Linked DNA regions of Caenorhabditis elegans. The protein of the gene in region 1 purifies or fractionates together with the protein of each later gene. This does not show direct contact. Each region holds a gene or a part of one and is shown on either strand. Other genes may lie near its edges.

Evidence for each region.
Region 2: the proteins of ints-8 (region 1) and utx-1 fractionate together in Caenorhabditis elegans (co-fractionation; one large-scale study listed by BioGRID). This does not show direct contact.

What each region holds. Positions count from the first base shown.
Region 1 is NC_003279.8:13,467,363-13,471,943, reverse strand, and holds the start of ints-8 (INTegrator complex Subunit homolog), read left to right. Parts: upstream 1-1,572; 5' UTR 1,573-1,592; coding exon 1,593-1,692; intron 1,693-1,743; coding exon 1,744-1,924; intron 1,925-2,700; coding exon 2,701-3,072; intron 3,073-4,581. Other genes in the region: ndrr-1 (Protein NDRG3), read left to right, coding at 1-130.
Region 2 is NC_003284.9:8,555,356-8,563,150, reverse strand, and holds the start of utx-1 (JmjC domain-containing protein), read right to left. Parts: upstream 6,001-7,795; 5' UTR 5,972-6,000; coding exon 5,906-5,971; intron 5,854-5,905; coding exon 5,777-5,853; intron 5,724-5,776; coding exon 5,397-5,723; intron 5,348-5,396; coding exon 5,227-5,347; intron 4,895-5,226; coding exon 4,754-4,894; intron 4,700-4,753; coding exon 4,427-4,699; intron 4,311-4,426; coding exon 4,191-4,310; intron 4,047-4,190; coding exon 3,914-4,046; intron 3,223-3,913; coding exon 3,038-3,222; intron 2,991-3,037; coding exon 2,766-2,990; intron 2,338-2,765; coding exon 1,465-2,337; intron 1,410-1,464; coding exon 820-1,409; intron 772-819; coding exon 583-771; intron 399-582; coding exon 278-398; 3' UTR 1-277. Other genes in the region: dhhc-14 (Palmitoyltransferase), read right to left, coding at 7,256-7,426.

The sequences.
Region 1 (4,581 bases):
GAGCATGATGCTCTTTTTGCAGGGATTGGGATATTTTCCGACGCTTAATGTGATGAAGATGACGAAAAAGATGCAGGAGACGCAGAATGGAGGCTTTGCTGCCGTTGCTAGCAGTGCTAATGAATGTTGATTGTATTTTCTCTTTTTTAGGGGAAATTTGACTGAAAATTTGAATTAAAAAAAAAAAAGAAAAATGCCAAAGAGTTCCGATGGGGTGAGGCTGAGCCAGAATTGTAGTTTGTAGTTTCTGAGCCTCACCCAAATTTTGAAGCGATTTTCGTGGAAAATACATTTATTTTGGTCGAATCCAAATATTTTTTTTGCGGAAAAATCGAATTTTTCAATTTTCAAACTTTTGTTTTCTAAAAGTCATGTTTTTTGAATAAAAAATCGAAAAATCGACCAAAAACTGCGAAAACCATCCACTGATTTGGTTGAGGCTCAGAGACTACAAACTACAAATATTCCACAGCCTCAACCAAGGCTTTTCGTTTAAAAACTCGAATTTTCAGTAGATTTTTCCCGATTTTCATCTACTTTTCCCCAAATTTCAAATGTATTTTCACCATTCTATCCTAAATTTTAAAGAAAAATGCCAAAAAATTCCAATTGAGTGAGGCTGAGCCAGAATTGTAATTTGTAGTTTCTGAGCCTCACCCAAATTTTGAAACACTTTTCGTGGAAAATTCGTTAATTTTAGACGACTTTTTATTTTTTTTTTGCTGAAAAATCGAAATTGTAGCATTTTTCATAGAATTTTTCTATATTCAAGCTTTTCATGTGGAAAAATCTGAAAATTATCAGATTTCTATGAAATATTTCTTTCATGAAATTTCGTCGAATTTACACATTATTTTTCGAAAATGCTAGCTTTTTCCCAGATTTTAGACAATTTTCGCGAGAAAAATCGACTAAAAACTACGAAAACCATAGCTAAAACCATCCACTGATTTGGTTGAGGCTCAGAGACTACAAACTACAAAAATTCCACAGCCTCACTCAACAATTTTTCGCTTAAAAACTCGAATTTTCAGTCGATTTTTCCCGATTTTCATCTACTTTTCCCCAAATTTAAAATGTATTTTCTCAATTTTTGTCCTCATTCTACACCTTTCTTTCGAAAATTCCGCTACTTCTGTCTCTCCCCGCTCTCTCTACCGCATGTGTGATCACCATTCTTTCTCTTTAGCTTTATTTCGTAGAAGCAGCAACGCCATATAATAATTAAAAATCGTCGTTATTTTTCTTGAAATTCTCTACGCATTTTACCCCATTTTTTCGTGTTTTATCTCAATACGATTCCTCTGCAATGCCTTTTTTTGCGTTTCCTTTCAATAAAATGAGATTTTTATTTGATTTATATTACTTCATTTTCAGATTTTTGATTTCAGTACTAAAATTCCTCGAATATACTTTAAAATTAGCTATTTATTCTGGTTTTAAACGGGAAATTCCCTTCATTTCCCCCTCGCGGCCACGCGCGTTTTCCAAGGCCACCGGCCGTGTAGTCCTCTCGGATAACTTCGAATTTAGACATTTCCGCAGTATTTTGCTAAAAAAACCGAGTTTCAGACGGAAATTGAGCATTTTTAATGGATAATCCGGAGAGTACGGGTGACGTTTCGTGGTTTGAGCTATTCGTCGACCCAACATGCATCTCAAAGTCGCTTTTGGACCCGGAAAAGAGAAAACGTAGGGAAAAATGCTCGTTTATGCCTGAAAATTCATGCTTTTCCATTGCAGAACTCCCACGACTATGTATGCAATTCACGGATAAAGGATTCCTCGCCGAACGGGAAAAAGATAAAGGAAAATTGGCTGTCGAGGAGCTGATGCTCTTCGAGAGAAAGGCGGCAAGTATGAGATTGTGTGCGATGGCCACGTTTGCCGCGTTGGATTATGATATAGAGTTTATTATTGATAAGTGAGTACTTGATTGAGGTGAAAAAACGAAGAAAAATGAATGAAAATGAGGCTAGAAGAGTTCTGTGGGTTGGTTGAGGTTCACAGACTACAAACTACAAAATTTCTGAGCCTCAACCAATTTTCTAGTCAAAAATTCTGATTTTGAGAGTTTTTCAGTTAAATTTCTTGTATATTTTGTGGAAAAATACAACAAAAAAGATTTAAATGCTCAAACAATTTGAGAAATTTCTTAAAATTCAATTTTTTTAAATTTTTTGAAATTGTAGTTTGTAGTCTGAGCCTCAACCAATTTGCTAATTTGAAAACAAATTATTTTGGATGTTTTTTCATAGATTCAAATTTATAAAAAAACTGAAATTTAGGTTTTCTCTGAAATTCAGAATTTAAAAAAATGCCGAAAATTCCAAAAAATTCGGAAATTTCACAAGAAACGTCCAAAAAATTCGAATTTTTAAAAATCTTAAATCGAAAATTGAATATTTCGCTCTTCCAGGCAAAGAAAACTACAAAACTTCGTGAAAAGTTGCGTTAAAAATGGTTGAGGCTCACAGACTACAAACTACAAAATTTCTGAGCCTCAACCAATTTTCTGGTCAGAAAATTGAGATTATGAGAGTTTTTCAGTTAAATTTCCTGTATATTTTGTAGAAAAATACAAAAAAAAAACTTTTTGTTTTTAAATTTCACACAAATTGCTCAGAAAACCAGCAATTAATTTTGCAATTTTGCAATTTTGTAGTTTGTAGTCTTAGCCTCAACCAATTACTTTTCCAGCATTCCTCGCAACGAAATCCAAACATTACGTGTGCTGGCCGACAATTTCTATCGAATCTACAACGAAAAGAATCTCGACGCAACATTCGGCAATTGGCTCTTCTACCGTTTCGTACTTTCCATAGATCGCCGTAATCGTCTTGCACCGCCGGCTCCGCGAGCCACAATTCCAACAACTTTAAGCAATGGACAACTGATGCCAACTGATCCAGCACTGCTGAAACACGAAAAAACACAAAGAACAATTATGGAATTAAAGGAACATGTGTTGAAAGCGAGAGCATTTATAACTGAATTGGCAGAAGTTCCACGAGATGTTGTTGCTCCAGGAATTCAGTGCTTTTTGAAGCCTTTTGTTGAACTGGCACCGAAGTGAGCACGAGAAAGTGCTGAAAATCCGCTAAAAATCCGCTAAAAACTTCAAAAAAACTAGTTTGAAACCGAAATATTTTTGGTTGAGGCTCAGAGACTACAAACTACAATTTGTGTGAGCCTCAACCAACTGTTTTAGAATGGCTGAGTGAGGCCAACAAAATTTTGTAGTTTGTAGTATGGGTCTTCAGTTGATAAGATTTGTTGAATAGCTGGAATTTGAGAGAGAGAGAGAGAGAGAGAGAGAGAGAGAGAGAGATAGAAAAAAGAAAACTTCTGAATTTTACAAGTTGCTCTCAGTGAGTTGGTTGAGGCCCAGGCAAGCTACACTACAAACTACACATTTCTGAGCCTCAACCAATTTTTTTTAAAATTTTCTATTTTTTTTTCTTGAAAAGCAAGTTTTTCGAACAAAAGTGTGATATTTAGTCCAATTAATCAGCATTTTTCTAATTTTTCAGCCAATCTTGTCAATTTGAATTTGGTTGAGGCTTAGACTACAAACTACACTTTTTCTGTTAGCCTCAACCATTTTTCGCAGAATCTTTCAGTATTTTATATGAAGAAAATCCTAATTTTCGTTGAAAAAATCAAGATTTTGACCCTAAAATAGCGAAAAAAACATCAAATTTTGTTTTTAAAAAGAACTGCTGAAAATTTGGGTGAGGCTCAGAGCCTACAAACTACACATTTCTGAGCCTCAACCAAATTTTTTTTTTTAATTTTCGATTTTTGCGAGTTTTCAAACGATTTTTTCCTGAAAAGCAAGTTTTTTTCGAACAAAAAGTGTGATATTTAGTCCAATTAATCAGCATTTTTCTAGTTTTTAATACCTATCTTGTCAATCTGAATTTGGTTGAGGCGTAGACTACAAACTACACTTTTTCTGTTAGCCTCAACCATTTTTCGCAGAATTTTTCAGTGTTTTATAAGAAGAAACAATACGATTTTGAGTCATTTTTCAAATGAAAATTCTTCAAATTATACAAAAAAAATTGATTCCTAAAAGTTAAGTCATCGGAAAAAAATTCGAATTTTTTTTTTCAGAAATTTTTTGATTTTGACAATTCGTTTTTTTTTCTCGAAAGGTCGAATATCAGTTTCTCACACTACAAACTACAAAATTTTTTTTTGTAAAATCCCAGCTTAATTACATTTATTTTGTAATTTTCTGATTAAAATTAGAGCAAAAAATCTGCTATAAATTGTGTAGTTTGTAGTCTAGTCTTCACACACATCAATTTTTCAACCAAATTTTAACTTTCAAATCGAAAATTATCGCTATATTTTTTATTCATTACCCACATTCTAATATCGTTTTCCAAAGTTTTTCTCTCACACTACAAACTACAAAACCACAGCCCTGTAAATGCAGGTTCTGTAGTTTGTAGTCTGTAAAATACACCATTTTTCCACAAATTTTGTGTGATTTTCGCTAATTTTTGTTTTGCTCTTTTGCTTTAAAGAAGGACTAACTGTTCGGACGGTTTTGAACGTATAGACCCAAAA
Region 2 (7,795 bases), on another chromosome or scaffold:
ATGGCAGTCAGTTTGAAAAAAAAGTTCAACAATAAACAGGAGATCAGATAAATTGAGGAAATAGTTTAAAATTTGGGTTTTCACAGTTTTGGAAGTGTATCGAAAGAGGGACACAAATGAACTAATTGAGAAGATTGAGATAAGTGAACGAGACCTTTTGAGCTTTCGCCAAAAATTGAAACGGGGAAATGTTTGGGGTGAGGGAGAGAGGCACATCAAGTGGAACAGGTTTGTGAAATAAAATATGCAATGATTAAAACGTCCTAACTAGAACTTTCTAGGCAGTGAAACTCATCTTATTGTTGTTAGCTGCGGGTATATATTTCATGTTGTCGTAGATTGAGTACAAGTCGGTGAACGAGAACTGCTGAAGAGCTATGAAGCCTTCGATTCCTTGCCTGAAAAATCACATTTTCTTTTCGAACCACTATAATTCTGAGTGAGGTTCCGCAAGTACTTGTGTATTTTTTAAAAGTAACTTTTCAAAAATATACAGAATCACGTGTTGAATGTTTTTGTATTTTTAGGCATAAAAAATAACCATTTCTAAGCCCAAAACGTTCAAAAATTTTGAAAACTTACGATTTAGCACAGTATACACAGAAGACTGTAAACTTTCCGCCAATATCCTTCACGAACAAAATACAAAACACTTCACACTCGCACGTCATACAGAAATGGGATTGTTCTCCACTTGTTCGAGTATGAGCTTTTATGGTTTTCTTCTGAGACACGATATAATCGGCAACCATTCTCAGGAATGCAAGTGATCTGAAATAAAGTTATTACAAACTTGATTGTTCTTCTTAGGCTACTCACCTAATCAATACACCTTTGCAAGTATTGTAGATGAGCTGGTTGGTAAACTTGACATTCTTTGCTACTTGCCAGCACATTAATTGCATTGGAACTTCACTCTTAAATCGGCGCAGCTTGTTGTATTCGTAGCTGAGCAAAGAGATGCTCAACTGTTGAAAGTTGAGTGGCGCCACATTCCAAGAAATGTTGTTGCACCATCCCGAAGCTTGTACCCAATGAATGGCTCCGCCACTCACATATACCATGTCTCCAGCCTTCTGTGTGAAACGGTGCACTGGAATTCCTGCATCTAATAAGTCATCGATAATAGGCCAAAATGTTCCAGTCAAAAGATCAACGCCATTCTTCTCGCACAACTTATGCATCTTTCCCCAATACTCGTATGGAACGGCAAACCATTCACAGTCACCGGGACCAATGTTTATGTTGATGGAAGCCATGTGATTGCTATCCTGATGAGCTGGTGTTCTGCAGCCAGGAACTTTCATGAAAAGCTTAACAGTATTCATGCCGTGAACTTGGTGCCCCAAGTGGGAGAGCATGTTTGAGCCGGCGATGAGGCGACAAAAAGCAGGAAGTTTAGAAAGTTCCTGAAAAACGGCAGTTGTGTTTGGTTTTAAAATATGGAGCAATAAAAAAACTTACGTTGATCTGTTTTCCCCATTTAGTGTCATCAGATAAATCAATATTAGTTCCATATTTAATAGACTTCAGATGTTTCGGTGGAGAGCTGGCTCGCTTATACAATTTCATTCTTTTAGGAGAAGGTCCACGTGTTCCTCCCACATTTTTCTTGATTTTCTCAGCTTCACCCTTTAGCGTGTGCTTGAACGATTCCGATTGATACTCGGCATACTTGTTGACTGTTGTGTACGAGGGATCACTGACACATTGCCATGTCTGTTGACTTGCATGATCACAGTTCGTTTCTGGTGGTAGTTGATACTGAGTTCGGATTTCAATTTCTTGGTTTCCGTCAATTTCTGCCACTGCTTTCGTGGAGAATAGCGACAAATCGAGGCGAAGGCAACCAGTAAGTCCACGAATACAAGAAATAGTAGACCCATCCAAAAACCGTTGTAATTCCAGACTTTGAGCTTCCTTCCTATTGTCCACCGTAAGAATTGGGGTTTTAAGAATTAATGGATGCTTTTCACTCCTTTCTAGCGCCGTGCGTACATCTTCATCTGTTACAATTGGCTTTACGGGACCTCGTGGTGGCTCGGGTAACTTCGCAAATTCTTCAAACACTGGTAGGTATGTGGAGTTTGGCTGAGTTCTTCTATGAACCATTTGCATAATTTCCTGAGCGCTGATATCCATTGAAACATAGAGCTCCGAGAGCAAACTGAAACTATCCGGAAGGTCATTAAACGAAATTTTCGGTAAGAATGGGAAGCTGTAGCATCTCGGCGATTCAAGTAGATGCCCATGGTCGCGAAGGTTTTGGATCATTTCCTCGGTGACACGTGGCATTTCACGAACGGCTTCCGGAATTACGTATTCAATAACTTTTGCCTGAAAAATTTAATGTTTTTCAATAAACCATTTAATAATCCCTATGGTTTTCAAATGTTTCAGATTACAGAAAAAGTGAGTCACAACTTTAACTTTCAGTTCTGATCACGCTTCAGTTATTCAGAATATATTTTACATGCGACAATAGAACATAGAAAAGCTTTATAATTAGGCTCATTGCGTCTACTCAAGAGATTTGTGCAACAGATACGCTATGAAATTCTCTCGTTTTTTTCCTTTTTTAATGTTAGAAGCAACACTGGCGGCCGCCCTGGCAGCAACTGCATCATCACTTCCCTTGATGTACTGGCATAAATGTATAGCTATCATACACTAATGAAAAGAGTATGACTTCTAAGCCGTGTTTGGCCTTTTTTGCTCGCATTTTTCACTGGCCTGTGTTTGTCAGCTATTTGAGCTCTTATTACCTTAAACACTGCCTCGCTGGTTTCCAAACACTCAAGAACTTCTCTCTCAGCTTTTACTAAAGCTGGTTCGTTGGCACGAAGCAACTGCATAACCTGGATTTCGAGATCTTCCATTGGCCTTGGATACGTTACATCCCATTCCATATCTTCCGGCTTTTCATGCTCCATTGTTCTGAAATCTTCCCAAAGATCCCAAAACGCGTTGTCATACTGAGCTTCTCTGTCCTAAAAATTGTGGTTTCAAAAAAACGCACATGACAACAATCACTTACAGCATAGGCAGCGTCTTGACGATTACGAAGCTCTAGAGGTATTGGCTGCTCATAAGCTTCTTTCAATGAAGGTATCACGGTTTCAAATGTTGATGACGAGGCGTGATTTGAGGGACGTGCGGGCACAGGCATCGAGAGTTCTTTTTCAAGAAATTGTACACGAGCTTTGATTGGTTCCGGAGCAACTGAAATGTCATGATAACATTAGTTTGTTCTTTAAAAAATCTGAAATCGTTAATTACTACTACTCACTCAAAACAGCCTCTAGCTTTACATTTAACCTACATTTACAAGCTCACCTTCCTAAAACTTGAAAAACTCAAAACTGCAATGAAATATATTGTTTCTCTTTTTAATGGATACTGCGTTTCATTTGTCACGTCTTCTATTTTATTAAACATTTTCAACTTGGAAACACTTACAGTGTGTATTGCTAATTTCAAAATGAATGTTGTTTGTTATCAGAGCTTTCTTAGAAAAGACCATTACAATTGAAACAACTTGGTTTTTTTCTTAAACATTTTTCAGTCGTTGTCATAAATGTTGTCATACTTCCTTTAAATATATTTTCCAATCACGTGGAAATTTTATCTGGTGACTAGAGATTAAGCAGATTAGTTGTGCTTCTGTTATATCCTTTCATTTCTCTTATATTTTCGTTTAAGTTTACATTCAATGTTTGGCGATAGCAAATTTAGCGACACCCATTCTACTATAGACAGGCAAGTATCATTGGCTGATAAGAAATGAAGAAAATCATATTGAAACTGATTCATTCACAACATTTTTTGATAGAAATTTCAATTTGGTTTTTCCAGAAAAGTTATAATTTATTTATATTCTTCTACTTTTTCTTTCAGGAAACCATCAACATACCTGGATTGTTCAGCATTGCATTTTTGAAACACTCCAGCGCATCTTGGTACTGGGCATTTTTCTCATAAAGCTCTCCGAGATCTGTCCATGCCGCAGAATGTGTTGAATTCAGCTCAATTGCACATATGAATGCCTAAAACGTGTTCAATATATTAAAAATTGGAGGCATTTATTGGAAAGATTGGGGTGGGCATACGCCATTGTTTTGAGAATTGCTCTGATCTTGCACACTGTGCACATTGTTTCCAAAAACTCTAATTTTGATTCCTGAACATACCTGAAGAGCATCAATGGGTTGATTTTGTCGCTGATACAGAGCTCCAATTGAGCACCACGTGTCCGCATTCTGCTCTTTTTTGTCAATCGAAAACCGGTAGTTGACAAACGCATCGTGTGCCTTAAATTCAGGAAGAATTAAATTATTTTCCTAACGTTTTTTTTTGAAAATTAGAGGTTAATAGAAATAAAACAAGTTATTTTTTAAGATTGTTAAGGAACAAAATGAACACAAACCACTTGTCCACTAACACTAGGCTCGTGTTCCCCGTAGACTCGTCCCAGATAGTAGTAGCTTTGTCCATCTCGTGGATCTGTATCATGTGCACTAATGAGATTCTCTTGGGCCTTCTTCAAATGATCCAGACGATTTGCATCGTCTTTATAAGAGCGGCGATATGAAATCCAGCCAATTTGTCGCAAACATGCTGCTTTCACACTTATCAATAAGTCAACTTGTTGTTGATCCACATTCGACTTGCTTTGTAAGAAACTGATGTGTTGTGTTAACTGAAATTATTCGATTTTTTTTTGTTTTTAACATTGTTTGGTGATACTACTCACTTCAGTTATTAGGTTTTCATATTCTGATTCTGCAATTTCAAGCTCATCATTATTCTCGTGGCTCAGAGCAATGTTGTACTTAATTGTGAATTTCGGCATAAATACTGACTCATCACTGTCGTTGACGGCAAGTTTGAACAGCTGTAAAATATAATAAGTTTATTAAATAACTGAAAAGATTTTACGAAATTTTACGCATTGTAAAGTTTCTGGAGTATAGCTTTTTATTGCAAAAGCATGCGTATTCTCGGTCTTTTGATCTAGCTTTGTAGAGTATCTAGCTAATTTTCCACAACTAGTTGTGGGAAAACTGCCAGTTTGCTCGAGAAAGCTGATGGTAAGACTTACCAAAAGTTTAATTAAGAAAGATTGTAGAAACACTACAAATTTTAATAACGCATTGAATGCAATTAAAACTTGTTTTTTTTATGTCTCAACTTATAACTTTTTCAGATCGTTTTCTTAATACTTACATTTATGCATCTGTTGTAATCTTCAAGTTCCATGTAACACACTCCAAGACGAACTTTTGCTTGCAATGCGATCATACCGGTTGGAAAACTATATAGCAGTCTTGTGAATGCCTCGATTGCACTAGAAGATTTTGTTTCAGATTATTCACAACAAAAAAACAAAAACTCACGGTTTCCACTGTTTGAAATGCAAGTAGACAAGACCTAACCCGAAGTACATCGAAGGATCATGTGAGAATAGGTCAGGATGATGGCTCAACACTTCTTGATAAAGCTCCAGTGCTCCGGTCCAATCATTTGCCAAAAGAACAACGTGACACTGTTTCGCCAATCCGTAGAAAATGCGCCGTTCGATTGTCTTGTACTTGTGCGTTTTATAAATGCTCTTCATCTCATCCACATATCTGACAAGGTATTGGCGGGCTTTTGCAAAGAACAATCTGACTTGATAAGTGAGATCGGCTGGGTTTTGAACGTGAAACTCGTCGAATGATAAACTGAAAATTAAAAAAATATTTACTTTATTGCAATCTTGTGACAATTTTTCAACCTGCTTAATGTGCGAATCCTTTCCAGTTCATAATTTGTCAGAAGGGGCAGTTCCAGCCATTTTTTAAAGTTTCCAGGCTGAAAAATGAGAAAATTTAACTTTTGCGCACTAAAAACAAGTAATCCTTACATGACGCTCCTCCGGCAGAGGTTCTGATTCGTCCATTGGCGGTGTGAGAAGCGATACGGTGTTCATGCACAAGACTTTTTGGGAATTATACAAATCTGGAAAAACTGCAGCGATTTAGTAATAATAAAATACATACACATAAGAGAATTGTAGGAAACATAACTTGGAGAAATCTTAATCAAGTTTTGACAAAGAAAATAAGCACAAAAAATCAATTAGAGCACTGTGAACTGGTCAATACTGTGTCTTAATTCAAATAGTATGGTTTATTAAACAAAGATCAACGTTAGAAACGGAGTATCGTTGCCATTGCCGTGCGTTCGCAGCCCGTCTCTACTGTGCCTGTTTGGCGAATGGTGGAGGGGGAAATGGAGAGGTAGTGCTCGGTATACGGACGCGCAGACGGTTAGAAACGCTTGGGCGGACAAGGAGTGGGTCGATGGTGTGCGCAAGTATGGATTGGGGTCGTCAGGGGGCAATTTGTGGAAAGGGTGAATATATGCAGATTTCGCAATACCGCACAAAGTGGAACTGAATCTCATTCAGAAATTTGTAAAATCGAGAGAACATGAGTTATGAAAAATTCCATGCTAAGAATATTGTCAAGCTACTCTGCTTTATTCTTCAAAAATATGTAAATAAAAAACTAACACAAATCTTGAACAATATTGCCAATAGTAATAGAACTTTGGTATCTTTATAGTTTTTTGAAATGTCTTTTTCACATTAAGTTTTTGATCCACTTTGTTTGAGAGCAACCAGTACATTATTGTGGATCTTGTTGTAGAAGTTATTACTTTAAAACCTGAGCTTTTTGAGATTAACAACAGGAAGACCGCTGGAAAAAAAAGTTACAATCCAAGATTTTGGACAACACAAACTGAGTTCTTGTTTAATTTCAAGAAAATTTATTTACATCTAGGAAAACAGTAAAGAAAAAGAGATCTCGGAAATACGCAAGAGAGAAGAGCAAAGTAAGAAAACTGATGGAAAACTTCAAATATCTCCAAGCACTTGATTCTAACCGGAATGTACAAAAAGTTTAACAAAAAAGGAAATGAAAGAGGGAAAAAGGGAGATAGAGAGCATTTAAAATCTTTTCACAACCAAATTATACAAGTGAAGTATCTCATGTAAAACTGAAAGAAAATGAAAAAGAGTAGATTGTGAATGGGGGAATGGGCGGGGATGAAATTTAAATTTAGGTTTCTGATTCACATTTACAAGTATTTTGTTTTTTATTGATAGATTTGTTATGCCATAGAAAAGTTTTGATTCTCAAGTTTGAAAAATCCGGGGAGCAGGGCAAGTTTTTCAGGTCCGATGAAGATAAAATCCGAATTTGTATTTTCACCAGTTTGGATCGCCGTTAGAGGAAAAGAATTCCAGAAGATTATGACACCGTTTCGAGATGCTTGGCTTGTGATGAATAACATTGTAGTCAGTGGAGCCGGAGTGAGAATGGGCATGACCAGCTCGGCGAGCTTTGATACGATCGTTGGTCGTCACTCCTTGCGAGATCTATAATAATTATTGTATTTAATTTTTTGTAACAAGAATGAATAATTTCTAAAATTGAATTACCGAATGTTCTCTATTAGTAATGTGGCTGTTGCTATCAATAACGCATTTAAATGTGTCCACGAAAATTTGTGTTCAAGTCTCTAGCAATCCTAATTTTGTTGGAAATGCCAATTTCAAAGATTTTCATTATTTGCAGTTCAATTGTCTTCTATGTATAATAAAACTCCTAACAACCAATTAACAAAAAAAACGTCAATAATTAATTTATTTTTAACAACTTTTTTTAAATCGTCACCTAACACAATAGCTGTTTCATTTGAAAATAGGTAATCTCGAACTAAATTTAAACTATCAAAAATAGTATTG